Linked DNA regions of Cricetulus griseus. The protein of the gene in region 1 interacts with the protein of each later gene in a biochemical or structural test. Links are inferred from orthologs where the notes say so. Each region holds a gene or a part of one and is shown in the gene's direction. Other genes may lie near its edges.

Region 1 (3,500 bases):
CCAAGGTAATGATCAGATTATGCCAATTTCTTATTAGAAATGCATCAGTTGTTTCTTGTAGGATTGTAGATGGGAAGATTTTTATTTATCAAAAGATGCTGTACATTCTGGATGTGGTGGTTTATGTCTGTGATCTCAAAACACTTGGGAGGCTGAGACAGGGAAGTCACCAAAAGTTCAAAGCCAGCCTGGACTACATACGGACTCCAGTCTAGTCAGGACTTTGTAGTCTGTCTGTGTCTCAAAAAAAAGAAAGAAAGAAAAAGTGTGCAATTAAATCTAAATATAATAAAATGACAAGCAAGTTATTTACCAGAAGATTGCCCACAGGTTAGGTTTTCTCATTGTGTTTTCATGTCTAGAATTACACCAGAAACATGAATGTTTAATTAAAAAGTATTTCATTATGTTGGAATTTTATTTACGTGTGTAAAACTATGTAAGAGCAATTCAAATAATTTTTAGGGCTAGATGCACCTCCACACTCAGCGGTAGCATGTGTGAGTGCATGTATGTGGGTTCATGTGGGTCACAGCACAAAGGTAGAGGACAGAGGACAGTTTGTGGGAGTTCATTCTCACCTTCCACCACGTGGGTTCCAGAAACTGAATTCACGCTGCCAAGTTTGGTAGCAGGTGCCTTACCTGATGGCCCATTTTAATGGTCCTGGATGCTAGAAATGTGATGTAAAGGTTTTCTTAAAATTGGGCAAATTTTTTTCTGTGTCTTGATTCTGAGGTGGTATAGAGCAAGAAATTCTTAGCAAACATTTAAAACTGAAAACTAGTACAAATCACCAGCTCCAAATCACCAGCACCAAGATGGGGTAGGGAGGACCTTTGTCTAGCATTGTGAGCCCCCATATCAGGGTTCTCAACCAGTGAGTCATGTCCCTTTTGACAGTTGACAGGCCCTTTCACAGGGGGCCCAAGACCATTGGAAAACACAGATGTTTACATTATGATTCAGAACAGTAGCAAAATTAGTTATAAAGTAACAATGAAAATAATTTTATGATTGGGGGTCACCACAACATGAGGGATTGTGTTAGAGAGTCTCAGCAGTAGGAAGGTTGAGAATCACTGCTCTAGATTTAATCCCTACTACCATTCTGGGATGAAGGAGAAAACACATATTTTTAAAGTATATTTTATTTATCTTTGTAATGCTGCCATCTAGTGTTGGTGTATTTTGGTTATCCCTTTTTGAAGAGTCAAAGTTTGATTTATGCTTCAATAAATCTGCTTTGTTGGTTTTAGAGTAAATGGCAGATCTTAAACTGTAACAGCTAAGCTATATTATTTAACATACTGTTATGAACAAAGATACCTTCCTTATGCCCATTCTGTAATTAGGTGTTTGCTTTTTAGACATATGAGTATCTTTTACCTGCACCTTGGTTTTTTTGTTTGTTGGCTTTTTTTAAGTCCTCTGGAATCTAAACTGAGAAGTGTCAACACTTGGTTCATGTTTGTTCCCAGAAAGACTTCAGTGAAAAATGTTTGTAATTGGTTTAATGTGACGAGGACAGACTTGTCTTTCTCATAAAATGGGTCCTCATGGTTTCCAGGCTGATACCCAGGGACCAGGAGGCTCCCTGAATCCGTTTTCAGCCCTTTTTCTTTTAGATGCCGTTCTTTCATGTGAAATCCTCTTAATTTTAGAAAATTAATATTTACTTTCCATTTAGTATGGATGTCCTTGGCTTAATAGTGAAATTTTATAGTTGATATTAAAGTGAGGCCTTGCCACAGGCCTAAAAATAGGGTAAAGATTTTCACTGAATGAAAAATAAACTGCTATAGATTTATACTGTATTTTAAGATAATTGTGACTGTCTTTGGAACTTTTGTCATTTCATTTAGCATCATTAAGATTTACTAATATACCCTGCTTTGATACCAACAGTGTGTATAATGAAATGTGTTTTAAAAAATAGGTCATGAGTTTGGGTAAAAGGGATAAGTCAGATATCAGGGACTGATCTAAGTGACTTTATACTAAGTACAGAATTTGGGGTTTTTTTGTTTGGTTTGTTTTGCCGGGGGGGGGGGGGGGGGATGGGGTGTTTTTTGGTTTTGTTGTTTGGTTTTTTGTTTGTTTTCTGAGACAGGGTATCTCTGTATAGCCCTGATGTCCAGGAACTCTGTCAGTAAACCAGGCTGGCCTCAAGTTCACAGAGATCCACCTGTTTCTGCTTCCAGAGTGCTGGGATTAAAGGAATCCACTGCCCAGCCAAAGTATAGAATAGTTAAGTGTGAGTTCTAAACTTATTAAGCAAAAGATAATCTTTTTTTTTTTTAAACAGAATTACTGAGTTGATGGGTTATGAGCCAGAAGAACTTTTGGGACGCTCAATTTATGAATATTATCATGCTTTGGACTCTGATCATCTGACCAAAACTCATCATGACAGTAAGTACAGTAGAGGAACTCAAGGAAATAGTGTCATTGCTTAAGTCCTGCAGTCTGTACTGTACCTCTACTTTCTAGTTAAAATTACCACCCAGTCTCCTTAGACAAGCATCCTACAGCCCCTTCATAAGATGTCTTGATAATGAAATTATTGTTTTGTTACAAATATTAGCAAAAAGTAAAGTCATTTAATAATAAATACATAAAGTATCCCATAAAAGTCAAATATTATAGATTATCTAGCCTACGTACATATGTACTGAAATCAGTGGTTGGTCAATAGGAGGTAGTCACAAAGCATTTGTTCATGAACTAGTGAGTAGGATTAGTATACACATGTGATAACTGACACCCTTGACATATAGGAGGTTTCTGAATTTTACTCAAATAAATCTATGATACCAAACTAAGTTAAACTTCATAATTCCTCACTTGCCTATTTAATCTGGACCTAAACATGACTTCCCAATATGATTGAGGGTACTGAGTTGAGTATCATTGAATTAGTGTAATTTGCCTTGAACTACAGAGTATGCCTAAGTTGTAGTCAGAGCATGGATACTCACAACGGCATCATCATGATTGATTTACTACATTCTCTTAAGTCAGTAATTAATTTAGACTGCATGAATTGACAGAAGGCTATAGTATGACATGAACTTATATATTCAAATGTTCTGAGTATAATTTTTTACAGTGATTGGTTCTCTGGTGCTTAAAAAAACTGGTACCATTTTCTTTCTTTTTTTTTTTCTTAAAAAGAATTTATTTAACTATTTTATGTGCATTGATGTGAGATCTCCTGGAACTGGAGTTATAGACAGTTGTAAACTGCCATGTAGGTGCTGGGAATTGAACTCAGGACTTCTGGAAGAACAGCCAGTGCTTTTAACCACAGAGCCACCTGGCCAGCCCCTTTTTTTATTTTTGAGACAGGGTTTCTATGTAGCTTTGTAGACCAGGCTGGCCTCGAACTCACAGAGATCTGCTTGCCTCTGCCTCCTGAGTGCTGAGACTAAAGAGGTGCACCACCACTACCCAGCTCCATTTTCTTAAATGTACCCTGTGATCAGTCTCTAGTCTGA
Region 2 (4,214 bases), on another chromosome or scaffold:
AGAGTACCTGCAGAGTCCAGAAGGAGGCATCGATGCTTTCAATCTAGAGTTACACATAGTTATTAGTTGCCACAAGGTTGTTATCAACTGAACCTGGCTCCTCTACAACACAGCGGGTGCTCTTAACTGCTAGTCATCTCTCCAGCCTCCTCCACTCAGTTCTTAATGCCACTGAAGGTCTCTGTCCGTTGTCCATCTCTCCCCACTAGAATGTCACCAGGGCAGGCATTCTTAACTGTGTCATACATGACTCAGTCCTCAGGTCCCTTCCCAGTCAGCAGTATATATTCCACAAACATTTCTTTTATCTTTACATTTTAAGATCAGATTTATATATTTTGTTTTATGTGAGGGTGTTTTGCCTGCACATATGTGTGTGTAATATGTGTGTGCCTGGTACCCTCAGAGGTCAGAAGAGGGCATCAGGTTCCTTGGAACTGGGGTTATGGATGGTTGTGAACCATCATATGGATGCTGGGAATAGAACCTAGGGGCTACAGGGGTGTAGCTCAGCAGTAGAGCTCCTGCCAAGACTTCCCCAGTGAGGGGCTGGGGGTGTGGCTCAGCGGTAGAGAGCTTGCCTCAAGTCCCTCAATAAGGGCATGGGAGCTCATTTAACCGAGCATTTGCCTAATGTACAGGCCCCAGGGCTCGGGCCTCAGCACTGCAAAAACAAAAGCAAAAACCCAGTAGCAACGTGCCCACGTGTCCTCAGCAACGTGCCACAGGCTTCCTGCCCTGAAAGTCACCTTTCTGGATTTTTAGGGTCCTAGAAAACGAGGGGTGAGAGGGGAGGAACCCCACAGTCCTCCCTCGCTTGCATCTGATTCCTCAACAGGAACAGCTCTGGCTTTTAGAGCAAGTCGTGAGGAGAGAAAGCCCTTGGGTTTTGCTTCCAGTCTCCAACTCTAGGTGTTTCTGATCAATCCCTGTCCCGAGATAAGGACGCCCCCCAGAGGACATGCCCAGCCTTTCCATAGGTCAGCTCCTCACTTTAGGTTTCCCGCACATCTCATAGACGTGCACCCCACTGAGCTCCCCTCCTGGAAATCAGAATCTGTCCACCCGCCTAAGGAAGACCCCCCTGACAGCGTGCGTGCCTGGAACAGCCCTCGCCACCCCAGCGAGCCCCAGACCCAGGCGTCCTGCTCCTTGCTCTGACCCCAGGTGGCCCCCACCCCTGGCGACCCCTCATGCACACACAGCCTCACCCCCACCCCCACCCGCGCACGCACACATGCTGATAACATCCCCGACCCCCGACCGGAGCCACATGTCCCCGGACCAAGCCTGGCCAGTGGCTGCGTCTTGCTGTGTTCCCGAACAGACCAGTGGCCAGGGCCACCGCGTCCCCGCTCTGCCCGCGCTCCCTGAACGGTGACCACCTTCTTTCAGGCGAGTGGGGTGACCTGGTCCCACAGATCTTCTAAGGATGAAGACTAGCAGCGTGGACACTGGCCCAGCCCCGGGTCACTAAGGGGCTCTGGCAGCCAGGCGCGGAGATGGGGGTGCCCGGTGAGTACTCACAGGCTAGGGACCTGTGACCTCCGGGGCTCCTGTTTGAGCAAGGATTTACATCTGAAGCTGTTGGCCAGGAAGTGACCGTGTACAAGGACCTGCGACTCGCCAAGGATCTAGGAGGAGAGAGGGGGGTGGGGTAGCTTCCACGTGCACTCAGGGGTTTGGGGAGCCCTCCCGCAAATGACAAAAAAGGGGAGATCCAGGACGGGGACAAAGTTTAGGATTTTAGGGAGTCGAGGCGCTGCTCCGTGGATGAGAAGCTGCTAAAAGAATTACCTGCGTCCAGGAGTCCCAGCTTCTCAGGATCTGCCAGCCTCTGGCGCGCACTTACAGTGAAGTTTGGCCGAGAAGTGGATGCCGGTCGCTTGGGGGGTGGGGTGTGCAGCGCCGAGAGATAGAATGAAGGCCACTCCGGCAGAGCCTAAGCAATTGCAAGGTCGGGGTCAGCCGAGACTAGAAGGCAGAGGAGCCTCGCTGAGCAAACCAGCCTCTGGAGTCCCGCAGCCCCCACCCCTCCCTGCCTCACACCCAGCCCGCCTTTCTTCCAGAACGTCCCACCCTGCCGCTTTTGCTGTCTTTGCTCTTGCTTCCTCTGGGCCTCCCAGTCCTCTGCGCTCCCCCACGCCTCATCTGCGACAGCCGAGTTCTGGAGAGGTACATCTTGGAGGCCAAGGAGGCAGAGAACGTCACGGTAAGCTTCCCGGCCCCACAAAAGAAAGAAACTGGTTCTTGGGGAGCTAGGAATTTGAGTTCCTTCCTAGCACGGCTTTTCAGGTCAAGATGAGATGTTTAGCCCTAAAGCTCTTCCATCCCCCTTCCCCCAGTGATAATGCTGGAGAGGGTTGTGGCTCAGTTTGGTAGAGTGCTTGCTTAGTGTGAAAGAAGCCCTGGGCTCAATTCCCCAGCACCACAGGAGCCGAGACTTTGTGATGGCCCAAACCTACATGCCTAGTACTTGGGAGATGGAGTAGGAGGATCAGAAATTCAAGGTGATCCTCTGTTACATAAGCTGAGTCCAGCCTCAAACTTGAAACTCTGACTGTCCAAAACAAGAAAGCATGATAAAGCTGGTGGCACCCAAAGCATGCCCAGTAACATTCAAAGACAAAGAGTATCTGGTGGCTTTTTGTGAATGAAACCTTTGGAGGTCTTGACCAGGTGCTGTGTCTTGCAGATGGGCTGTGCAGAAGGTCCCAGACTGAGTGAGAATATTACAGTCCCAGATACCAAAGTCAACTTCTATGCTTGGAAAAGAAAGGCGGTGAGTTCTCTTTTCTTTTTTTCTCCTTCCTAGAGGTGGGTCTCAGTCTGACACCTTGATAGTGTGGGAGAAAGAATGATAAAGATAATGACTGATGGAATATGCTAGCTCATCCATCCATCCATCCATCCATCCATCCATCCATCCATCCATCCATGCCTTACTGTGTGCTGTTCTGTCCTGTCCACCTCCGCTAGGGTGTCTGATAGCCAGGGAGACAGAGGGAAGGACTCTGGCTGGCTCTTTCTAAACCCTTTGCCTCCTCTAGGTGGAAGAACAGGCTGTAGAAGTTTGGCATGGCCTGTCCCTGCTCTCCGAGGCCATCCTGAGGGGCCAGGCCCTGCTAGGCAACTCCTCCCAACCATCAGAGATGCTTCAGCTGCATATAGACAAAGCCATCAGTGGCCTGCGCAGCCTCACCTCCCTGCTCCGGGTGCTGGGAGCCCAGGTGAGTAGGTGTGGACTGTTACTTGCCCTTTCTACAGGGTGGGCCAAGAGTTGTTAAAGAACTGAGGGCTGAGCCTGCAAGATAGCTCAGTGGGTAAAGGTGCCTGCCACCAAGTGAGATGCCCTGAATTTAATATCCCTAGAAGTCACACAGTGAGAAGAGAACTGGTTTCCTCCAGCTTGTCTCTCACCTCCACCCACACACAGGCTGTGGTGTGCATGCATATATGAATGAATCGATGTAACAACACATTTTAAACAAAGGACACTGAGAGCACAGGCTGGGCGATGTAGTGGTGGCGTGCATGGTGCACAAACGTTGAGTTCAATCTCCAGGATTTCTGTTAACAAAACAAAACAAATCAAACCAAAAACAAAGTGAGGTGGAGCACACATGGAACCCCAGGGCCGGGAGATTCCTGGGACTCACTGGCCAGCCAGTTCTACTCAGTTGGTGGGCTCCAGGTTCAGTGAGAGATGCTGTCTCAAAAACTAAGGCGGAAGGGCTGGAGAGATGGCTCCATGATGAAGAGTGCTTGCTGCCCTTCCAGAGTTCAGTTCCCAGCATCCACACCAGGTACTCACAGCCACCTTGAAGTCCAGCTCTAGGGGATCCGAGCTCCTGGCACCTACACACATCCAGCCAGTGGAGAGTGGCTGAAGAAGACACACCTCTGGCCTCTACACCCACACACACGCACATACACACATACACCCCCACACAAATAATACTGAGGACTCTCTTCACCCCCCACCTGTCCTTTGTCACGTTTTCATCTGCAGTCCTCAGCACTGCAGTGATATCCTATTTTCTCTTGACAGAAGGAATCGATATTACCTCCAGATGCTACCCCACCTGCTCCACTCCGAACACTCTCGGTGGATACTTTCTGCAAACTCTTCCGGGTCTACTCCAACTTTCTCCGGGGCAAACTGAAGTTGTACACAGGGGAGGCCTGCAGGAGAGGGGCCAGGTGAGCTGCCA
Region 3 (4,087 bases), on another chromosome or scaffold:
AGATTTGTGTGTGCTCTGGTGTAGATTTGTTTCCGTGTGTGTGTGTGTGTGTGTGTGTGTGTGTGTGTGTGTGTGTGTGTGTGTGTAAACCTGTGTGCCACTGTGGTTTTTTTTGTGTGTGTGTGCAACCGGGACTCCTGCTCATACTCGCTGGTGTGTATCTCCTTGTGCCCTGAAGTCTTTATATGGGCTTTTGGGGACAGGTGTAGCCCCTCGGGACAGCTTCAGCCGCTCTCCCCAAATGTCAGCAACCCATTGATTGCCCACCTGGTAGGCCCAGGAGTTGGTGGAAGGGGTGGGGCGTTCAAGTAACCCTATCCACATCGCCCCCCAGGAACAGTGGCATCGATGGTATGTGCGTTGCCTGTGCGAAGCTCTGGATTCAGTTCCCTCTACTGCATAAACAAACAAAAAAAATCTGCCTGGACTACAGAGGAGCCCGTTTTTTTTTCGAATGTCTGCCCCAGGTGGCTTTAATGTGACTCCCACGTTGCCCTGAGGGAGCAGCCGCGGCGGAGAGGGGGTCATGCAAATAGTACACATTTGCTCGTTTGTTCCATCCGACTTGGCTTCTCTTGAGGACATCCGGTACTCGCCGTTATTTCATTTTATTTTTATTTTTTAAAGTGCTTATGTAAATTACTGACGTAGGAATTTACAGACACTTTCCAGCTAAGTGCGCAGCCGTTTCTCAGTGTCCCCCAGGGCTGCGTGGAGGCGCTGCCTATGTAAATGACACATTTGCATAGCAGACTCCGGCACTTTCTCGGTGAAGCGCCGTCTTTGCACCCCCCCCCCGTCCCCCGCCCCGATTCCAAGGCGCCGTCTTATTTTTTTTTTTAAATTTTATTTATTATGTATACAACATTCTGCTTTCATGTATATCTGCACACCAGAAGAGGGCACCGGATCTCATAACAGATGGTTGTGAGCCACCATGTGGTTGCTGGGAATTGAACTCAGGACCTCTGGAAAAGCAGTCGGTGCTCTTAACCTCTGAGCCATCTCTCCAGCCCCGGCGCCGTCTTATTAAAAAAAAAAAAAAAGAAAATCCACAGAACTCCTTTTACCCCCGGAGTCCGCTGCGTTCCTGCTTTCGGCGTGGAAGGGGCGGGGCGCGGAGATGCAAATGAGCCTGGCGGCCCCGCCCCAGCTCCCTCCGCTCCCGTGCGGGGGGGGGGTTGTGTGTGGTGGTGGTGGTGTCGCGCACGCGCAGTCTGCTCGGCCGGGGCCGCGGTCACGTGCCCGCGGGGCGAGGCGGGGGCGGGGCGTCGCGGGGGCGGGGCGGGGCGTCGCGGGCCGTGGGGGGCGGGGTATGGCGCGCTGCGAGGCGCAGGGCGGCTGGCACAAACGGCGGCGCCGAGGCCGGAGGAAAAAGCTCGGTGAGGAGGTGGCGGTGCGAGAGGGAAGGACCCGGGGAGGGAGGGAGAAGGAGCCCGAGATCGGGCCGGCCCGGGCGGACGGGCGGGCGGGAAGCAGGAAGCGGGCGGCGGCGGGCGGCGGCGGCGGCGGCGCGACCCTGCGCGGGCGGTGCGGGTGCGGGTGCGGGGTGGGGGTGGGGAAGGAGAGGCGCGCGCCCGGCGCGGCGGGGCGGGGCGGGGAGGGGCGGGGCGAGCCATTGAGGACGGCGGGGGCGCGCGGCGGCCACCGAGGGGAGGGCAGGGCAGGGGAGGGGCCGGGCCGCCGCCGCGGAGGGGGTTGGGAGGGAGGCCGTCGGGTCTGACCCTCCTCCCGGCCTCCCTTCCGTCAGTCCGTCTGTCCGGCAGGACCTCCCTTCCGTCCGGGTGTGTGTCGGGCCCCGGCAGGCTCTCCTCCCGCGGGGGCACGGGCCGACCCCAGCGGTCCTCCCGCCCCCCCCCCAGCCGTTCTCTTTGTCCCTGGACCCCCCCCTCCCCGCCGCTTCTCCCCGCCCGGCCCGCGGGGCCCGTGGCCCTTCCTTTCCACCCAAGCGATCTGGTCCCCGCAAACGTGCGAGCTGGCACCCTCGATCCCCCGTCCCCGTTTTCTGTGTCCTTCTCCCCATCTGTCCCGAGTGTGTCTATGGAGCCCTCGGGCAGGTACCCCCCCCCCAACGCCCTCCGTTGCTCACTGTTGCTCCTCTTCTTCCTCAGATCTCTTGGATCGTATCTGTAGCCTGATCGCCTTCCTCTCTCTCTGTGGGCCCTCCTCGCAGCGTTTCCCCCTCTGCACTTTCTCTGTCTTACTCTGTCCGCCTGCCATCCCCCTCTCTCAGATTCCCAAGTTCTGCGCCCCCCCCCAAACCCCAGTGTCGCTGAGGCCTCAGCGCGTGTGTGTTATGTGTTTGCTGTGGGCCCTGTGTTATGTCCTTCCTGCTGGCACCATCCCCGCCCCTTCCCACCTGCTTGTCCCTAACTCCTCTTAAGTCCTTTTTTTTTTTTCTCCCTCCTCTCTCCCTTCCAGCCACCCTCACCAGTCCCTCCTGGAGCTCTTAGGGACAACTGTGAAGTTGGGGACCAGCGAGGAGCATCCCCGGGGCACCAGAGGAGCCCCTGCTGCCTGCCCTGCCTCACCCTGCCCCTTGCCAGGCCCGGCGGCCCCCGGCTGCATCCAGTGGAGGAGGAGGAGGAGGCGGAGGAGGGTGGCACCATGGGCCCGGGCCGTGCCCTCCATGCCCGGGGGATGAAGACACTGCTACCATGGACAGCCCGTGTCAGCCGCAGGCCCTGAATCAGTCTCTCCCTCAGTTGCCGGGGTCTGTGTCAGAGTCCTTGGAGCCTAGCCGAGCCAGAATGGGGGTGGAGAGCTACCTGCCCTGCCCTCTGCTACCCTCCTACCACCGCCCAGGAGCATCGGGTGAGGCCTCGGCTGGCAACGGGACTCCCAGGACCACAGCCACAGCCGCAGCTACCACTACCACCGCCAGTCCCCTTCGGGAGGGCTTCGGTGGGCAGGATGGCGGTGAGCTGTGGCCACTGCAGAGTGAAGGTGCTGCTGCTCTGGTCACCAAGGAGTGCCAGCGACTGGCGGCCCAGGGTGCCCGGCCTGAGGCCCCCAAACGGAAGTGGGCCAAGGATGGTGGGGATGCCCCTTTACCCAGCAAGCGGCCGTGGGCCAGGCAAGAGAACCAGGAAGCCAAGGGGGAAGGTGGTGTGGGCTGTGACAGCGTTGGCAGCGGCAGTGGCAACAGCAACAACAACACTACCAGTAGCAGTGGCGAGGCAAGTGCTAGGCTGAGGGAGGAGGCCCCACCCTCTGCACCGGAGCGCCTGGCCCTGGACTATATTGTGCCTTGCATGCGGTACTACGGTATCTGCGTCAAGGACAACTTCTTGGGGGCGACACTGGGTGGCCGCGTGCTGGCCGAGGTGGAGGCCCTGAAGCGGGGCGGGCGCCTGCGCGATGGGCAGCTAGTGAGCCAGCGGGCGATCCCACCGCGCAGCATTCGTGGGGACCAGATTGCCTGGGTAGAAGGCCACGAGCCAGGCTGCAGGAGCATTGGTGCCCTCATGGCCCATGTGGACACGGTAATCCGCCACTGTGCGGGCCGGCTGGGCAGCTACGTCATCAACGGGCGCACCAAGGTAAGGCACTTTTTTGGTGAGTGCCTCGTGCTTTGGCGTGTGGGTTTGGAAGCAAGTTTCTGGGGTTGTGTAGAACACCATGGGCAGCTCCACCGGAGGGTCTACAGTTACCTGCCTGTGGGGACCTGCGTGTCTTCCTCCCACTGGACTTTGAGTTTTGTACCTGCAAAGTAGTTGAGCCTAGATGGCAGTGGTCCTTGCCCTCGGGAGATCAAGAGCGGCTGACTCGTCTTAACCTTAGACCGAGGGTGGTTGAGGTTGGCGGGAGTGTGTTCTTGTCTGCTGGCCCGCAGATGGCAGACCCAGGAGGGAAGGGTGGCAGTGTTGAGGTAGCCTAGGCTGAAGATGGGGTTTGGCTTGTCTGCTTGAGCACCTGGCCTGGGCGACATTCTGCCCTGTGAGCCTACTCTTGGCATCTGCACCAAGAGCTGCTTCCTGGAGGTGACACTGGATGCCAGTGTGCTGGTCCAGGTAGAGCCCTTGTCCACATCCTCCCCACTCCTCCCTGCCCTAGTCCCTGTTGTGCGCCCTCTGACCGTTGGTCA
Region 4 (4,166 bases), about 51 Mb from region 1:
GAGTGAGCCCTCCTGTCCTGGTGCACCCCACCCCAGACCAGTGCCCACCATCCCCTGCTCCAGGATATCTGTGTGCCTCTCATCTCTGCTTGTTTGCTTGTTCTCTACTTGGGAGACATTGGATTTTATTTCAGTTTTTGGCAAGTATGAATAATTTGGGGTTTGGGCCTTAATTTGATTTGTGATCATGGAAGTTTAGATTGTAGATATCTTTTTCCTTTTAAAATTTTTTTGTTTTTTGAGATAGGATTTTTCCATATAGCTCTGGCTGTCTGGTACTCACTCTGTAGACCAGGCTGGCCTCAAACTCACAGAGATCCACCTGCCTCTGCCTCCTGAATGCTGGGATCAAAGGTGTGCACCACCACCGCCCAACTCAAAGTACATTTCTGCATTGGCTGGGAATTGAACCTGGGGCCTCCCGTGCGGCAGGCAGAATTCTACCACTGAACCACCAGTGCTTTTGGATGCCTTTAAAAAAAAAAAAAACAAAAAAAAAACTAGTTTTATTAAGAAATGATCCACATTGATGGAATTCATCAGGGTGTTTTCACAGGGGCCCCAGGAGAGTCCCAAATCTAAGCCCAGAGATTGTTCCAGTACTGTTACCGTACACTTTCCTTCCTGTGGGCCTTGCTTTTCCAGGTGACCCTTCACCCTGGTGTGAACCTCTGTGCACTAACTGCTGGAGTTGTAAGGTTGTGGCTGGCCTGCTGCTGGGTGGCACAGGCTCAGGAAGCAACGCAGTGACAGGCCTGCAAGTGCATGCCCACATGGGGACAGAGAACTGCAGTTGCTGCCTCTGCCCATTTCAATAGGAGGAACCTTCCAGTCAGCTCCACTAAGGAGGGGTTCAGTGCCAAGGACTTCTGCCAGCCTGGCAGTAGACAGTCCAGCATACCGTCTGCCCTGGGACTGCTGGAGCATTGTGGTAGTAGGGTGATCTGAGCTGTCCAGGCTGGGTCTGCCAGCTTTGAAAGTCTCCGTGTCTATCTGTGGAGCCTGGCCTGTGGTGGCGAATGGTAGACACACTGTTCTTGCCTGCAGCAGCTACTTGGAGCGTTGTCCAGTAGTTTTGAGCAGGGGCCTCGGGATATTTGGAATTGGGCTTTATGGGGAAGCTGAAGTTAGTCCCCCCCCCCCAGCCTTCCCACTAAGCCTTGTGCTCCTGAAGGCAGCTAACATTGGATGTTTGAGGACTGCAGGCCAATCCCAGGACAGCCCCTCAATCCCATCACCAGCTGTGATCTGGCCCAGCACCCCTCTGGATGGGTTCTGTCCATCCAATAGAAGAGGCTTTGCCTCCTCTATTCCCCAGCCCTCTGACCCCTAGCAGAGTGGGACTAGGGCTTAGAGGGTCTGCTTGAGGCTCACAGCCAGTTCTTAGGGATTCTGAGAATGGTGGGGATGGCTTAGAGCCCTGGTGCTATGCATGATGACCTCTCTGTTGCAGACTATGTCTACTTTGAGAACTCCTCCAGCAACCCGTACCTGATCCGCAGGATTGAAGAGCTCAATAAGGTAAGAGCTCGACACAGTGATGCTGCTGCCTGACCCTGGCAGGGAGGGGTGGAGCCTCCCTGTTGTGGGTGGGCAGGGTCTTCCTACCTGGGTTTTGATGTCCTTCCAGGGGAGGCTGGGAGTGAGTCCCTGTGGCCATGTCTAGGCTTCTTTTTTTTTTTTTTTTTTTTAATTTTATTTTTTTGATGTGTGTGGGTGTTTTGTCTGCGTGTATATCCATGCTTAAGGAGGCTGGAAGAAGGTATTGGATCCCCTGGAACTGGGTAGAGTTATTGTGAGCTGCCATGTGGGTGCTGGGAATCTAAAACAAACCCTGGAAGAACATCCCATGCTCCTAACCACTGAGTCATTTCTCCAGCCCATGCCTAGGCTTGCTTTGTTTATTTGTTTTGTTTTTTTCAAGGTAGGATTTCTCTGTAGCTTTGGAGCCTGTCCTGAAACTCACCCTGTAGACCAGGCTGGCCTCGAACTCACAGAGATCTGCCTGCCTCTGCCTCCCGAGTGCTGGGATAGAGGAGTGTCCCACCACCGCCCAGCCTGCCTAGGCTTCTTGAGGACAAACGTGGGGCTACCTTGAGGCGTCACCAGTTCCGGCACCCCATCTCCCAACAAGTACTGGTCTGTCTAAGGCAGGTTCCCTCATGGACTTGAGCACATCAGGACTCAGAGGGATCTGGATGGTTCTGGAGACTAGTCACAGACCAAGGGCAGTGGCCCTCTGTGCCACTCATCCACACTCTCTCTCTCCTCATTCTCTTCCCATTTCCATTAGCCTAGGTGGCTTCCTGGCTATAGGACTACCATGAACACTGCAAAGTTGTCTACTCTGTCCATTACAGTGTTGAGGGTGTGTGCAGTATTTATACCCTGGGGTCCTATTGGTGTCTTACCCCAGTCGCTGCTTCTGCCATAGTTTGTGTCTGCTGGGAATCCTTGGCAGACACTGAATCCTTGGTCTGGGGGCATGGTTGTTCCATTGCTAGAACCCTGGGATAGTCACACACCACCTAGGGTGGTGGCTAGGAGTGTGGAGAAATGGATGCATGGATTCCAAAAACTCGGCTCCATTCTACTCTGCTTGGAGTGACCTTTTGGCTCTTTGGAGAGTGAGGTGGTCTCAGGTCAGCACAGTCACATAGCAAGCATACCAGGAACCTTCTTGTCCCTTCTGGGTCTCAAGGATCTCATGGCCATATCCCTACTGTGAGCCTCAAATGTGGCCTGCCCACTCTTGGCTCTAAAGTCCCACGTGATTAGAGGCTGGGGTAGGCAGGCCTATCCCTGCTCTGCTTCCTCTAGTGCCAGGCAGAGAGCAGGACCGACCAAATTCCCAGACCTGTGTCTTTGTAGACACTCTTTCCTGCCAGGCTGGGTGGTGACAGGGCCTCCATAGCCTTCTTGAGTACCATAGACCAGTGAGAAGGGCTGCTCTCCTAGACTCAGGCTTGTTGGAATGGTGGCTTGGGATTCTTGGGATCAAATGGGACAGAGAGGGCAAGGTTGGATGCTACCCCGCAGGTGGCCATGTTGAGACCGGACCAGCCCTGCAGGTGGCTCTAGATGGAGGCTTAGGTGTAGCCCCAGCTTCTAGGTCTGGCCTTACCAGCTCCTTGGAACCCATGTTGCCAGGCTGTGCCAAGGCGGTGTGCTGCTACAGCAGCGTCTTCTACAGCCGGGGATAAGCTCTGTATGAGCGTGCGTGTGTGTGCACACACGTGTGTGCTTGTGCACACATCTGGGGATGTTTTGGGAAGATGAATTGGTCCGAGCATACAGGTAGCTTCTAGAGACCTGAGGCCTGTCATGGCCTAGGTGGGCACTAGTGTTTCCTCTGATGTACTCACTGGGACCAGATCCTAGACAGGTGCCCCATGGTTGGCTCTGGCCACAGTTGTCAATAGGCAAGATAGTAGGTTGGGTAGCTGGAACTCTACCAGCTACTATAGGTGTGGACCAACAGGCTCTCATTTACACATTTCAGTTACACAGACTTGGACATGAACAAACAGGTTTGTAGAGGAGTATCCCAGCTGCAGTGAGCAGCCACCAGAGGGTGTCCACTGGCCCAGCACATGGGAGCTGTGTCAGCCCCATCATTTTGAGTGACATTGTAGCCTAGGTGTCTCAAAGCCAAGTGCCAAGGACAAGTCAAGTAGTAGGGAGTTGTGAGCTGGGCTGGCAGTCTCAGATTCCCAGGTGTAGACCAGCCTCTCTGTCTCTCAGTGTCAGACCTCTGTTACTGGGATGGGGCTCCTATCCAGGCTTCCGTTTTGGCCATTGCCATGGACCCCTGTAGTATGGATGTCTACGGTAGACAGTACCTCTGATCTCCACAGTCTGTGAGAGGTCCTCTAGGTTTCGCCCTTCAGTACTTGAGATTAACAAGGCACCATGAACTCACTTGATGTCCCTGGCTTCCATCCACAGCTAGCAAGTTCAACACACATGAAATTGCCTCAGGTCCCTGCTACAGAGCAAAGACAAGTGCCTTCAGTGATGAGAAACTCCTGAGGCTAAGCAAGATTAATGCCTAATACGTGGAAATGGGGCTAGGAGGAAAAGGGGACAGCTAGTGCAGGGGACAGAATCCAGGGCTCAGGAAGGGAGAGACAGTACCAAGCCTGAGCAGGTCTATGGACAGGGGA
Region 5 (3,500 bases), on another chromosome or scaffold:
GGGGGAGAATAGAAGGGGTGAAGAGAGATGGAGATGGGGGAGTGTAGGGTTTAGGAGACAGTGGATGTGAGATCCAGGGCACAGAGCAAGGACCTCCAGGCAGAATAAATACCACCTCACATATACGTGCCTCCTGTATCTCCACAGAGCATGGAGGACACAGAACACGTAACATAGAATTTATTTTCCTTAAATTCCATTCCTGGGATAGGGGAGTGACCGGCAAATGATCTTTAATGTATGGTTTAATGACAAGAGAGCAGGATAGAAGGGAGTCTCGATTCTTCTTGCCTTGTCATTAACCAGCTATGACTTCATTCTTGGACAATACCTGGGTCTCAGTTGATTCTTCTGCAGCTTAGAAACAGCATCTTGCTGCACAAGCATCATACAAGGACCCCAGAAACTGCCGAATGCTGCCACACTGTTCAAAAAGGAAAACAACAACAACAAAACAAAACAAAACAAAACAAAAAAGATGTGGTCTGGAGTATTTCCTTTTTTTTTTTTTTCCTGCTTCTTTCACCACCGCCTGTCAAGCTGAGACCTATTCAGACTCCCCCGATTTCTGACCCCACTCTTCATACATGCTTCCAATTCCCACGAAAAGCAGTATTTCAAGGTAATTAGATGCAGTTGAGGGATGGCGAGCTGTTTAACACTTTGCACCATCTTCGAAAACCTGTGTCTGTAAGACAGGGTGAGGATAAAGGTTCCCAGGATGCAGGTCCCTTTAGCCCACACCAGTAGGTGCCAATTCCAAATGTCTTTAAGCCTCTCCTGTCCTGCCCTTGTAGTTACTGTCCAGGCTGGGCATGAGAATAAAGCTGGAGAGGTCACCACTTGCTGGTATTTGAGAGAAGGCTTCCACAGAGATTTGTCCACATCTTCATCAGTGCAACGTCATAGCGCTGAGGTCTTGTGCCTTGACTCTTCAGCTACAGGGATGCTCAGAAGAAGGCATCGATGTCCTCAATGTTATCTCTGATCGTGACTGCACCTCTGCATCACCTTTGTGTTTGGGAAGGTGACAATGCCCCATAACACCCATGCCTTCTGTTCCCCTGCACTAGTGATACCTAAAGACCCATTGGCACTAGGGAGAAAGCCAGGAGCCACATTAGTGGTATGGAGGGTAACATGAGGTGCCTGAGGTTTGAGGTTCCTTTACCACTTCAACAAACTGGACGTTTACAGGGGGTTGAGGGCATCATGCGTCATCCACTGGCAACAGTGGTGACAGATGCCTACCAGAAATAGTAGCCGCCCTGACTCTTGCATTTGTTTCTCCCCTCTCCCAGCCCATCACCACAGGAGGTGTCACTTACCGGGAGCAGCCCTGGCACAAGGAGTGCTTTGTGTGCACTGCCTGCAAGAAGCAGCTGTCTGGGCAACGCTTCACAGCAAGGGATGAGTTTCCCTACTGCCTGACCTGTTTCTGTGAGTTGTACGCCAAGAAGTGTGCTGGGTGCACCAACCCCATCAGTGGTAAGCATCCACGAAGGCCACTGTCATGGAATGGGCTGTCTGCCTCCTGGAGCACTGGGGAGGCCTAGAGTTTCAGCATGGGTGTTAGCACCCTGAGGTGCTGCGCCCAGCCCACCTCTCTGCTGCCCGTCCTTGGCACGCTGCTTGTGCTTCAGCAGGTTCCTGATGACTTCCCCTCATCTGGTCATGGAGAACCATTGGCCTGTCGTTGAGTGTTTCTGCTGGGGTCTATGAGCCTGCTATAAGCACATGATCAAAATGTATGATTCATTTCAGCCCCAACATCAGACTCAGTATGTGGAAGTGTCCAGGCCATCTTAGTGAGACTCATTTAACCACAGACCGCAGCTACAGGGAGACACAGGGCACATTCTGAGTCGTTTATTCATAGCACAGCACCCAAAGTGTTTGACAAAGTGAGAGCCCCACATGTCCTGGGCTGGCCAGCCAGTTATCAGGTGGAGACTAGATGGCTTCAGACTGAACACTCACCATATATACCAATCAGTGGCCAGGTGGGGAGAGAAAAGTGCAAGTGTTCTGTCAAATGTAGGAATGTTTCTCGAGGTGGATTTTCCAATCCCATTCACTCATTCCATCTGGTTTAGTTTGCTTTCTATTGCTCTGATAAACACCATGATCAAAAACAACTTGTAGAGCAAAGGGTTTATTTCATCTTACTGCTTACAGTCAAGCAAGAAGGGACGTAAGGGCAGGAACCTGAGGCAGGAGCTCAAGCAGAGCTAGGGAAGAGTGCAGCTTCCTGCCTTGCTCTCCGTGTCTTGCTAGGCCGGCTTCATAACCCAGAACTACCTGTCCAGGGGTGACACTCCCCACATTAGGCTGGGTCCTCCCACGTTGATTGTTAATCAAGAAAATGCCTCAGAGCCTACTTGCCAACAGGAAGAGGTTCCCTTTGCACAGATAACTCTACGTAGTGTCGAGTTGGCAAAAAGTTAACCAGTCCACCATGGCTTTATCCTCGATGTACAATCAGCAGACATAATGTGGCAGGGAGCAGCAAGCCACGGATTTTCCCTGTACCTCTGCAGACACGCACACCAACGTTCGCCTTGCCTAGAACCAAGTCACCTTGGTCCTACTCCCCTTTCACATTGGCAGGACTCTGGAATGTACCCAGAGCTTATGCTTTATTTGCATGTAAAATCAGAGTATACAGAATACTTACATTTTCCTTTGTCAAGACATCTGATTCTAGTGCTCATATACTCTAATTTTCTTGAAATTAGTTATGGAGGAAAATGGGACATTTCTCAGTAATACATCATCTTTGATGCTGTTTTTTTTTTAATAACTTCTGTTGAGGGAAACATTTGCAACACTTTTTAATCTGTGGGAAAACCTCGTAAATGTGAAGGACTTTAGTGCTAGACATGCATGTTTGTTGCAGTTATCATAGAATTCTGAAAAAAACAAAACTCTAGGACGAACACGATTCTTCCTTTAAAACAGCAGAATTAGTTCTTTGAAAAGCAGTGACAGATTTTCAAAAACCATATAGAAGGACTGTCAAATTGCAACTAAAATGTGCTTTCAGACAGATTTCCAGAGACTTACACCCTGAGCTTGGATGAAGTTTCAGACAGGTCTTTAGTGCTTTTCCTCTTCAACACAGTCTACACTGCTTTTGTGAACAAATTGGAAAACACTACAGATTTTTACCTGCAGCAATGCTTGCTTCTCATCTGCAGTCGATCATATTATTTTACCCACACAGATTTGCAAGCGTGTCTAGTCTTTAAAAATGATTTGCAATCTTAAAACAATACCCCTGGTACTTTTAGTGACCCACAGCTGTGTACAGAGCAGTAGTAGTTTTGAGTTCTCAGTCATCTGTGTTTCTGGTTGACACTAGACAAATGAAGCCCTGCCTTTGTGTTCCAGCTTTTTCAAGACAGGGTTTCTCTGTGTAGCTTTGGAGGCTATCCTGGCACTTGCTCTTGTAGACCAGGCTGGTCTCGAACTCACAGAGATCCGCCTGCCTCTGCCTC
Region 6 (3,500 bases), about 19 Mb from region 1:
CAATTCAGGGCATTGCTAAACAAGCATAGTTCCATAGCCCCACACCAAAGAGCCTTTCTTTTACCTCCCCCCCCCTCTCTTCTTTCCTTCCTTTTAGAGAAAGTCTCTCTGTGTAGGCCAGACATCTCACTCCCCACCTTCCTGCTTCAGCATCTGAGTATTGAAAGTACATGCGTGTATCCACTATGTCCGCCCCTCATATCTCGGCATTCTGATCCTGTGGGGTTAGATGGAAATTTGGGACATGCTTTTTCAAAAAGGAATGTTAAAGAAAGGAAGCCATCTTGTTGATGATGTAGATGGGTTTCTTTAGAAGGTTTTCAATGTTTTAGGACATGGAAATATTACTGACTATTTACCCTGCACCTAGTCCTAAGGCATGGACTGCCTGCTAAGCTTTCATACCAAAGGTTACCTCATGCTAATTCTGTATTCTGATAGTGATCCGAATTTATGTGCCGTATATGCCTGCTGCATGGTGAAGCTATTATTTAAGATTTTCTAAACAGAATCCTTCGGATGTCTCCACAGGCAATGGTGGCTTGCTATCCAGGAAATGGAACAGGTTATGTCCGCCATGTGGATAACCCCAATGGTGATGGCCGCTGTATCACCTGTATCTACTACCTGAATAAGAATTGGGATGCCAAGGTACTGTGGAATAATGGGGGAGGGGTTGGAGTGGGTTATATATGCCATAAACAGTGCAGGTAGGGGTGCACTGAGAGGAGCAAGCCATTTTCAATTAGATAAAACATTCAGGTATGTTTAGGGGAGTTATAGTTTCTAATTGTCTCCACTGTGCTATTTTTTACCTTGCTTCCACTTGTGGAATTAGTTCCAAAGTTGCTGAGATTAAAGACAGTGGCTATAAAGTTAGTTTGGTGAGAGGGGGGGTATGGTGATTGTGAAGGTCAGGGGTTAATGAGGTAGGTAATTTAACATTGGGATGCAGAGCTGATGTGAGTCTTAGCTCAGCATGTAATGTACACCTTCCCTGCCCCCCAGCAGCAACATTGAGAGAATTCCACAAAGGCAGAACTGTGGGATAGCAAACTGTCCCCGAGAAAGATTTCCCACACAGTCCTCTTTCTCGGGATGGTATGTCCCATAGGGAGCCATTCTTTGTAGCTTGTGAATGACAGAGGTTGTGTGGCTGGTTTTTGTATGGTAGGTGGTAGAGATGGACTGGATAGACATGGTTTGTCCCTTATGTGCTCTCTGAAAGTTAAGAATGACTTAGGAGTGTGGGAAATTCAGAGAACTTTAGAAGTTTGTTTAGCTTTTGGATTCTGTGCATCTCTGTTGGCTGTTCCTTAGTGCACACTCTGACTGTGGTCATGTATGTAACATTGTATCTCTCCTCTATTTGGTAGCAAGACTGGAACAGTTCCTTTAAGGGCTTAAAAATATCTCTTGGGATGCTATGGTGAGCAGAGTTATTAGACCAACAATAATAAACGAGGAAGAATAAAACCAACAAATGTTTGAGTTTCTGCCAGCGCTAGATGTGTGTTATGTAGAAACAATGATGTATGAAGCCTGGTTTCCGCCCAGAAGATGATTGTTCCAGTAGGACAAATAGATTGTACATCTGAAAAAGAAAAAGGAGGCGAAGAGAGTGACAGATGTCCTAAAATGTATAGGCAGTGAGGTGAGAGAGTTCAGGGAAGGGTTCAGTCAATGAGGTCAGATGGGCATTTGAAGAACTCAGAGAAATGCTCTAAGTTGTTATTGCAGGGGCAGCTGTCTGTGATGAATGTTTAGACAATATTTGATGGAGCTAGGAAATTGCTTAGGATTTGTCTGCTTGCTTTTTTGGGTTGAAGCATTCTGACATGGACAGTTTTGTGTGATGACTGTCTGCTATTTTATGTCTGTGGGCTTCATGGCTATGGGAGTGGGAAGATGCTGGTCTGAAGTGGATGAGGAACTGTAGATAGCTAAGCTGTGTCAAGTTGACGTAAGTTTAACTACAAAGTATAAGTGGAGTGAACATTTGGGGAGTAAAACCCACTTAAAGTTGAGGTAGAGGTGGCATTTCTCTTTGATAGCGCTAACACATCCTTGCTGATAAACTTTATGTGAGACCAGGAGATAACGCTTCCTCTTCTTGGTCTTCAGTTACATGGAGGGGTATTGCGGATATTTCCAGAAGGGAAATCATTCGTAGCAGACGTGGAGCCCATTTTTGACAGACTCCTGTTCTTCTGGTCAGACCGCAGGAACCCACATGAAGTTCAGCCCTCCTATGCTACCAGGTAAGAGCCGGGGCCACAGTCCCTCTTGCAGGGATCCCATGTGTGGGATCCCAGTTCCTGGAGAACTCTTAGAACTCATGTCCTATACTAAGAAGTGCTGGTCACACCCCAAAACTGACAGCTCAGCCTGTTTGGAATGATAGAAATTGAAGGGGCTCTTTAGGTTTCAGTTTATAGTAACTATTAACTGTGACTTGTGCATACTGGTCTCAGTTCCTTAGAATGCATTTCCCTTTCCTTCTGTTCCTTCCTCCTTCCCCTTATGGGGGAAAAAAAACCCTAAAGTTGCATGGGTACACTCCTGTTACACCAGCAGTCAGAGATGTAAGCAGGAGGATTGAGAGTTCAAGACAGCATGAGCTAAATGAGACCTAGGCTCAGAAATGTCAAGGAGAAAACAGTAGCAACAAAAACCCAATGTTGAACTAATCCTGATTATCACATTTCAAAAGTTCTGCTCCTTCAAGTGAATTTCTAGTTTGTCAGTTTAAGCAAAGAAAGAACCTTGGGAAAGGAAAGAATAATTTGTTCTGAATTCATTTCCTTTCTATTCTCTCTGTTTGCCTGGGCTAACTTTATCGGTGCCGTCACAATTGGATACTATAGTTTGCTTGCTCCGTCTGTCCATCCGTTCATTTTTGAGACAAGGTCTCACATCAGGCTGGCCTGGAACTCACCATGTAGCAGAGGGTGACCTTGAGTTTCTGATCCTCCTGTTTTTACCTCCTAAGTGCTGGGATTCCAGGCATGTGCGTTGCACAGGGTTTTTGTGATGCTAGGGTATTACGCACACTATGCAAGCACTCTATCAACTAACTGAGCTACATCACAGACCTACAACTGAATGTTTTAAAATTCTCCTTCCTCCCTTCCCCCCCCCTCCCTCCCTCCCTCCCTCCCTCCCTCCCTCCCTCTCTCCCTTCCTCCCTTCTTCCTTCCTCCTTTCCTTCCTCCCTCCCTCTGTCCTTCCTTCTTTCTTTCCTTCCTCCTTCCTCCCTCCCTCCGTCCTTCCTTCTGTCTTTCCTTCCCCCTCCCTCCCTCCCTCCCTCCCTTCTTTCTTTCCTTCCTCCTTCCTTCCTCCTCCTTAGCACATGGCTATACAGATCATTAGAGTCACTGAACACCTTAGAATTGTCTAATCTTAACCTAGAAAGCTCTGATAAAAATATTTATGTATGCTTCTACCTCCAACTCTCCCTTGTCTCCCAGCAAGCACTGTGGGCCAGGCAGAGTGTAGAG
Region 7 (4,300 bases), on another chromosome or scaffold:
TTGTGTATGTGTATGCACAAGCAGGTATTTTTGTGTCACAGAACGTGTGTAGAGACAATGTACAAGTTTCAAGGGTTGGAAACCCCTGTGTACCAGAAAGTCCAGGGCCCAGCTCTGGTGGGTCATCAGGCTTGTGCAGTAAGTACTTTTACCTGCTGCCATTTCTCTGGTACTTAATGTCTATGGTTTTAAAGCAGATGGGGCGGGGGGGGGGGGACAATTGGGCCTGGAGATGTGTGAGGTAAGGAGTCAAGTTAGCATGATACATTTTACTTGAGTATTTCTTTTCCTCCTGTTGAGTTTTTTCCCTTCATTGGCCAGGCATTTGGGTAGACTTGGCAATTTGTGATAGGCCCTAAGGTCCAGATACAAGAGTCTTCTTTCTCCTTACAAAAGATGGAGACTAAAGATTGGCCATAACCCCAGCTCTGTGTGTGGCACTAGGTATCAGCCCAGCATTCCTTGATTCAGAAGGCAAAAGCTTTAATTTCCTCATCGCTAGGAAAGGGAGCTCACTAACTTGTGAATTTCTTTTTTCTTTATTCATTCAGTAGTCATAACCCAGGTGGTGGCCATGGTGTTAAGCAATACAGAACTGACCCTTACTCTAACTCGTGAGGTTAGTGTACTCTGCCAAACACACACACACACACACACACACACACCCTCTCGCTGGAGAATCTTTTAAACTCCTCTTGGTGCGATAGTGCACACCTGTGAGCTCAACACTGGGAGGTGGAAGCAGGAGATCTGGAGTTCAAAGTCATCCTTATCTACTTATCAGAGGACAGCCTGGGACACCCCCAACCCTGTCTCACACAAACAAAATAAAATAAAGGTCTGGAGCCTTTCATCCCAGTGCTTGAGAGGCACAGGTAGGTGACTCTGAGTCTGCTGTCTGCCTGGTCTATAGAGAGGTACAGGTCACCCAGAGGCATATAGTGAAACCCTGTCTCCAGTGAACAAAAATGAGAAACAAACTCCAGTCTAATCTTGACTCCTTTTCCTTATCTCCATAGCCTTGAACAAGTCACTTCCCCTCTCTAGACGATCCTTATTCAGTTCTATATGGCCTTAATTATAAAAAGAAGGGGTGTCTTTCTGGGAAAGGAGGCCTCACCATAAAGAAGAAATAAAAACAGGAAAAGTTGAGAACTTGGTACATTGTTCAGTATATATTCTTTGTAGTCCCCTTAAGCCTGTCTATTCCTTCCCTGATTGACACCTGGAGTGGCTGCCTTCTGGGGCCTTATTTTAGGTTTTTTGTTTTTTTGTTGTTTGTTTTTTTTCCTTGGTTTTTCGAGACAGGATTTCTCTGTCTTTGGAGGCTGTCCTGGAACTCTCTATAGACAAGGCTGGCCTCGAATTCACAGAGATCCACCTGCCTCTGCCTCCCGAGTGCTGGGATTAAACCACCAACGCCCAGCTGCCTTCTTCTTTAAACGCCTGCTCACCCTGTCATCTCCAGGAGGGAAAGGGGCGTGAGGGTTGAGAACGCGTTTAGTACGGTATAAAATGTTTGTCCCTGTCAGGCCGCCGTCCTGCAGGTCCGCCATATTGTCTGCCGAAGCTGCCGCTGAAGCCACAGCTGCGGCCGCCGCCAAGTCTGAGCGAGCGGAGCCGCGATGGGTGAGTGAGGCAGCTCGCAGATGGGTGCTCGGGCTGAGGTCTTGGGGATCGGGGTCTGCGAGGGCCTGTCTCTCGTCTGAAGGAGATGTCGGAAGCGTCCCGATAGGTACGGGAGGAGAAATCGGGTCGGGAGTGCCCCTCAGGCCAGTGCAGGGCCGGCGCAGGGCCGCACGGGGAGCCGCTCCCGGGGCTGGTTCCGGATGCCCGGCGCCCCCGGTGTCCCCACGTGGTGGCCTCGGGCCCGAGCTCGCGCGTCCGCGGGGGAAGGCAGGGCCCTGCCCTCGCCCTGCGCCAGCCTGCCTGCCTGCCTGCCTGCCTGCCGGGGAGCTGGGAGCGGGCTCGGGCGGCAGGCCCGGCCGCCGCCACGGGGAGCCCGTCCCCGCGGGCACTGGGCCGACGCGCTCCGGAGCGAGGTGAAGCCCTACCTGCCCACGTAGCGGGGAGAGCCCCTGGAGAGGAGGCGCGGGGCAGGCCGGCTCCCGACCGGTAACCAAGGGCAGGCCGGGTCCAGCGCAGCCCGGGCCTTGGAAGGCCGGGAAAATGCCCCAGTTCGGCTTGCCTCGGTGACAGGCTTCGTAGTGTTTAGAGAGCCCAACGCCAAGACTTCTTGGCATAGGCAGGCCAGAGATTGGAGGTTTCTGGACCAACTCTGGTTGGTTAGCAGGAAAAGAGAGACCTGTTGATCTTTTTTTAAAAAAGAGGACTCTGGATACGAAGGCCCCTGCCCAAAAGAGTACGATGGTGAAGTCTTTGAATTCAGAAACAAAACCAGCACTGGTAATTTATTGCCATCAGTAAAGTAAGAACTTTGCTAATCTGTATGTGCAGACATTGTTGTCAGCGCTTAATGTGTCTTGTTTAGCCTAATTCCAACCTAGTGGAGTGGTTGCTGTTGTTGTTCCTATTTTACAGATGGGGACACTGAGGCTTAGAGTGGTAAAGTAACTTATCCAAGGTCACACAGTGATTAAAACAGGGTGATCACTCCTGAGCTCTAGGATTTAACTGCTTTTTATGCTTTGGCCCCCTAGTGGTGGGCTGAAGGAAGGAAGGGACCGTTTTAACCCTACATAAAGTTGTGAAGGTATTTTGTTAGGGGTCCAGTTTGAAACCTTTAGTCTGAATGAAACTCAAAGGGTTCAGGGTGAATTGCTGACCCCCACCAACTTTAAGAGAAGCACCTCAATGCACTTCTGAAATTTCTTATGATTCCTGATCCTAAGGGAACACAAATTATTTTCCCTGCCTGTGATTTTCAAATCTGAACTGGCCTGACACTTCTCACACCTCATCCTCTTACTTAATTTACAAACAGAATTGCATAGAGAAGGTGTCTAGCACAGTGTACAACAGAACAGTATCCCTCCGTTTCTGAGCTTTCTCATCTCTAGAAAGGGAGTGTGCAGAGCCTAGCCAGCTCTATAAATAACGTGGCATTCTTCCCCACCTTCAGTAATAGCCGTTCTTTCCCCTCCAGAACCTTGTAGAAAGTTTAAGAAAGATCTAGGAGCAACTGGAGCCCTGGAAGGCAAGAGGTAATCTAGATTCATTTTTACAGATTGAGAACAATCTCAAAGAAGATAACATAGCTAATAAACAGCCTCCAGGAATGAGATTCTTCCACATTTTACTGCATATCAGCCTCTAAAATTTAAGGTGGAGCCGGGAGGTGGTAGCACACACTGTCACTTCAGAGGCAGGAGGATCTCTGAGTTCAAGGCCAGCCTGGTCTACAGAGTGAGTTCCAGGACAGCCAGGGCTACATAGAGAAACCCTGTATTGAGAAAAACAAAAGGGGGGGGGTGTTAAGTGAGGTATCTTTTTTTTTTTTTTTTTTTTCTTGTTAGAATGTGAAAGTTCTTCAGCACAAGAGCAAGACCTGACCAAAGTCCCAGAAAGAATTTTTAGTATATCAAGCCAGGTGACTTCCCGCTTAACTTCAGTGATCAAACTAAAGTAAGGATATATTTAATCACAGTGTGTAATCCTAGGTAGTTTGGGTAATCTCCATTACAACAGTGAATTGGTGCTTTGAGAAGATTAGGTAACTAGTGCAAGGCTAGTAATCGAGGCCCATTGGGTACTGGTTATCATATAGCCGGTCTTTACCCAGAGTCTGCTCTTTTGCCTCTTTACATATACTCTCCCAGGGCCTATATGTTATACTTCACTACTCACTTAATAGACCTTTGTTAGTGATTCCACTGTCTGTGTTGGTGAGGAAACTATAGATGTTCCTTTGCTCTTGATTTCTAGCAAAGACCTCAACCATTTGAATTCTAGTGGGTGCTGGCTATCTAATCACCATTCCCACCATCCTGCTAACGGGAATTTGTCATTCTCTTCCAAAATCCAGGGTGGATCTTGATTAATATAAACTCTCAACAGGTCTTTGTAGTTCTGTTGTCCTAGGCAGTGGTTGATTAGGCTGCTTAGATGTGAAGGGAAGTATGGGGAACTTGTGGAAGAAACTTTCTTATTTAAAGCTGCCTTTCTGGCTTTTTAAAGATTATTTGCTACCAGAAGTTGATGGTACACACTTTAATACCATTACTTGGGAGGCAGGGGCAATCAGATCTCTGTGAGTTTGAGGACAGTCTGTCTGGTCTACAGAATGAGTTGCCAGGACTATTTCACAAAGAAACTCTGTCTCGAAAAATAAACAAACAAA

Evidence for each region.
Region 2: the proteins of Hif1a (region 1) and Epo form a complex in vitro, tested with the Homo sapiens proteins (2 studies listed by BioGRID). The link is inferred for Cricetulus griseus from reciprocal best matches to the Homo sapiens genes HIF1A and EPO.
Region 3: the proteins of Hif1a (region 1) and Egln2 form a complex in vitro, tested with the Homo sapiens proteins (3 studies listed by BioGRID, with this or other methods). The link is inferred for Cricetulus griseus from reciprocal best matches to the Homo sapiens genes HIF1A and EGLN2.
Region 4: the proteins of Hif1a (region 1) and Mta1 form a complex in vitro, tested with the Homo sapiens proteins (2 studies listed by BioGRID). The link is inferred for Cricetulus griseus from reciprocal best matches to the Homo sapiens genes HIF1A and MTA1.
Region 5: the proteins of Hif1a (region 1) and Fhl2 form a complex in vitro, tested with the Homo sapiens proteins (2 studies listed by BioGRID). The link is inferred for Cricetulus griseus from reciprocal best matches to the Homo sapiens genes HIF1A and FHL2.
Region 6: the proteins of Hif1a (region 1) and Egln3 form a complex in vitro, tested with the Homo sapiens proteins (5 studies listed by BioGRID, with this or other methods). The link is inferred for Cricetulus griseus from reciprocal best matches to the Homo sapiens genes HIF1A and EGLN3.
Region 7: the proteins of Hif1a (region 1) and Kpna6 form a complex in vitro, tested with the Homo sapiens proteins (2 studies listed by BioGRID). The link is inferred for Cricetulus griseus from reciprocal best matches to the Homo sapiens genes HIF1A and KPNA6.

The regions. Positions count from the first base shown.
Region 1 is NC_048598.1:129,464,591-129,468,090, reverse strand, and holds part of Hif1a (hypoxia-inducible factor 1-alpha), read left to right. Parts: intron 1-2,308; coding exon 2,309-2,415; intron 2,416-3,500.
Region 2 is NC_048597.1:116,408,862-116,413,075, reverse strand, and holds the start of Epo (erythropoietin), read left to right. Parts: upstream 1-1,414; 5' UTR 1,415-1,502; coding exon 1,503-1,515; intron 1,516-2,069; coding exon 2,070-2,212; intron 2,213-2,695; coding exon 2,696-2,782; intron 2,783-3,050; coding exon 3,051-3,230; intron 3,231-4,051; coding exon 4,052-4,207; 3' UTR 4,208-4,214. UniProt on the Homo sapiens protein: Hormone involved in the regulation of erythrocyte proliferation and differentiation and the maintenance of a physiological level of circulating erythrocyte mass.
Region 3 is NC_048602.1:8,757,270-8,761,356, forward strand, and holds the start of Egln2 (prolyl hydroxylase EGLN2), read left to right. Parts: upstream 1-1,287; 5' UTR 1,288-1,382; intron 1,383-1,651; exon of another isoform or gene 1,652-1,784; intron 1,785-2,421; 5' UTR 2,422-2,657; coding exon 2,658-3,542; intron 3,543-4,087. UniProt on the Homo sapiens protein: Prolyl hydroxylase that mediates hydroxylation of proline residues in target proteins, such as ATF4, IKBKB, CEP192 and HIF1A. Target proteins are preferentially recognized via a LXXLAP motif.
Region 4 is NC_048598.1:180,939,068-180,943,233, reverse strand, and holds the start of Mta1 (metastasis-associated protein MTA1), read left to right. Parts: upstream 1-1,366; 5' UTR 1,367-1,428; coding exon 1,429-1,521; intron 1,522-4,166. UniProt on the Homo sapiens protein: Transcriptional coregulator which can act as both a transcriptional corepressor and coactivator. Acts as a component of the histone deacetylase NuRD complex which participates in the remodeling of chromatin.
Region 5 is NW_023276807.1:5,371,111-5,374,610, forward strand, and holds part of Fhl2 (four and a half LIM domains protein 2), read left to right. Parts: intron 1-1,301; coding exon 1,302-1,488; intron 1,489-3,500. UniProt on the Homo sapiens protein: May function as a molecular transmitter linking various signaling pathways to transcriptional regulation. Negatively regulates the transcriptional repressor E4F1 and may function in cell growth.
Region 6 is NC_048598.1:148,126,438-148,129,937, forward strand, and holds part of Egln3 (prolyl hydroxylase EGLN3), read left to right. Parts: intron 1-531; coding exon 532-651; intron 652-2,124; coding exon 2,125-2,261; intron 2,262-3,500. UniProt on the Homo sapiens protein: Prolyl hydroxylase that mediates hydroxylation of proline residues in target proteins, such as PKM, TELO2, ATF4 and HIF1A. Target proteins are preferentially recognized via a LXXLAP motif.
Region 7 is NC_048595.1:23,348,937-23,353,236, forward strand, and holds the start of Kpna6 (importin subunit alpha-7), read left to right. Parts: upstream 1-1,500; 5' UTR 1,501-1,515; coding exon 1,516-1,735; intron 1,736-4,300. UniProt on the Homo sapiens protein: Functions in nuclear protein import as an adapter protein for nuclear receptor KPNB1. Binds specifically and directly to substrates containing either a simple or bipartite NLS motif.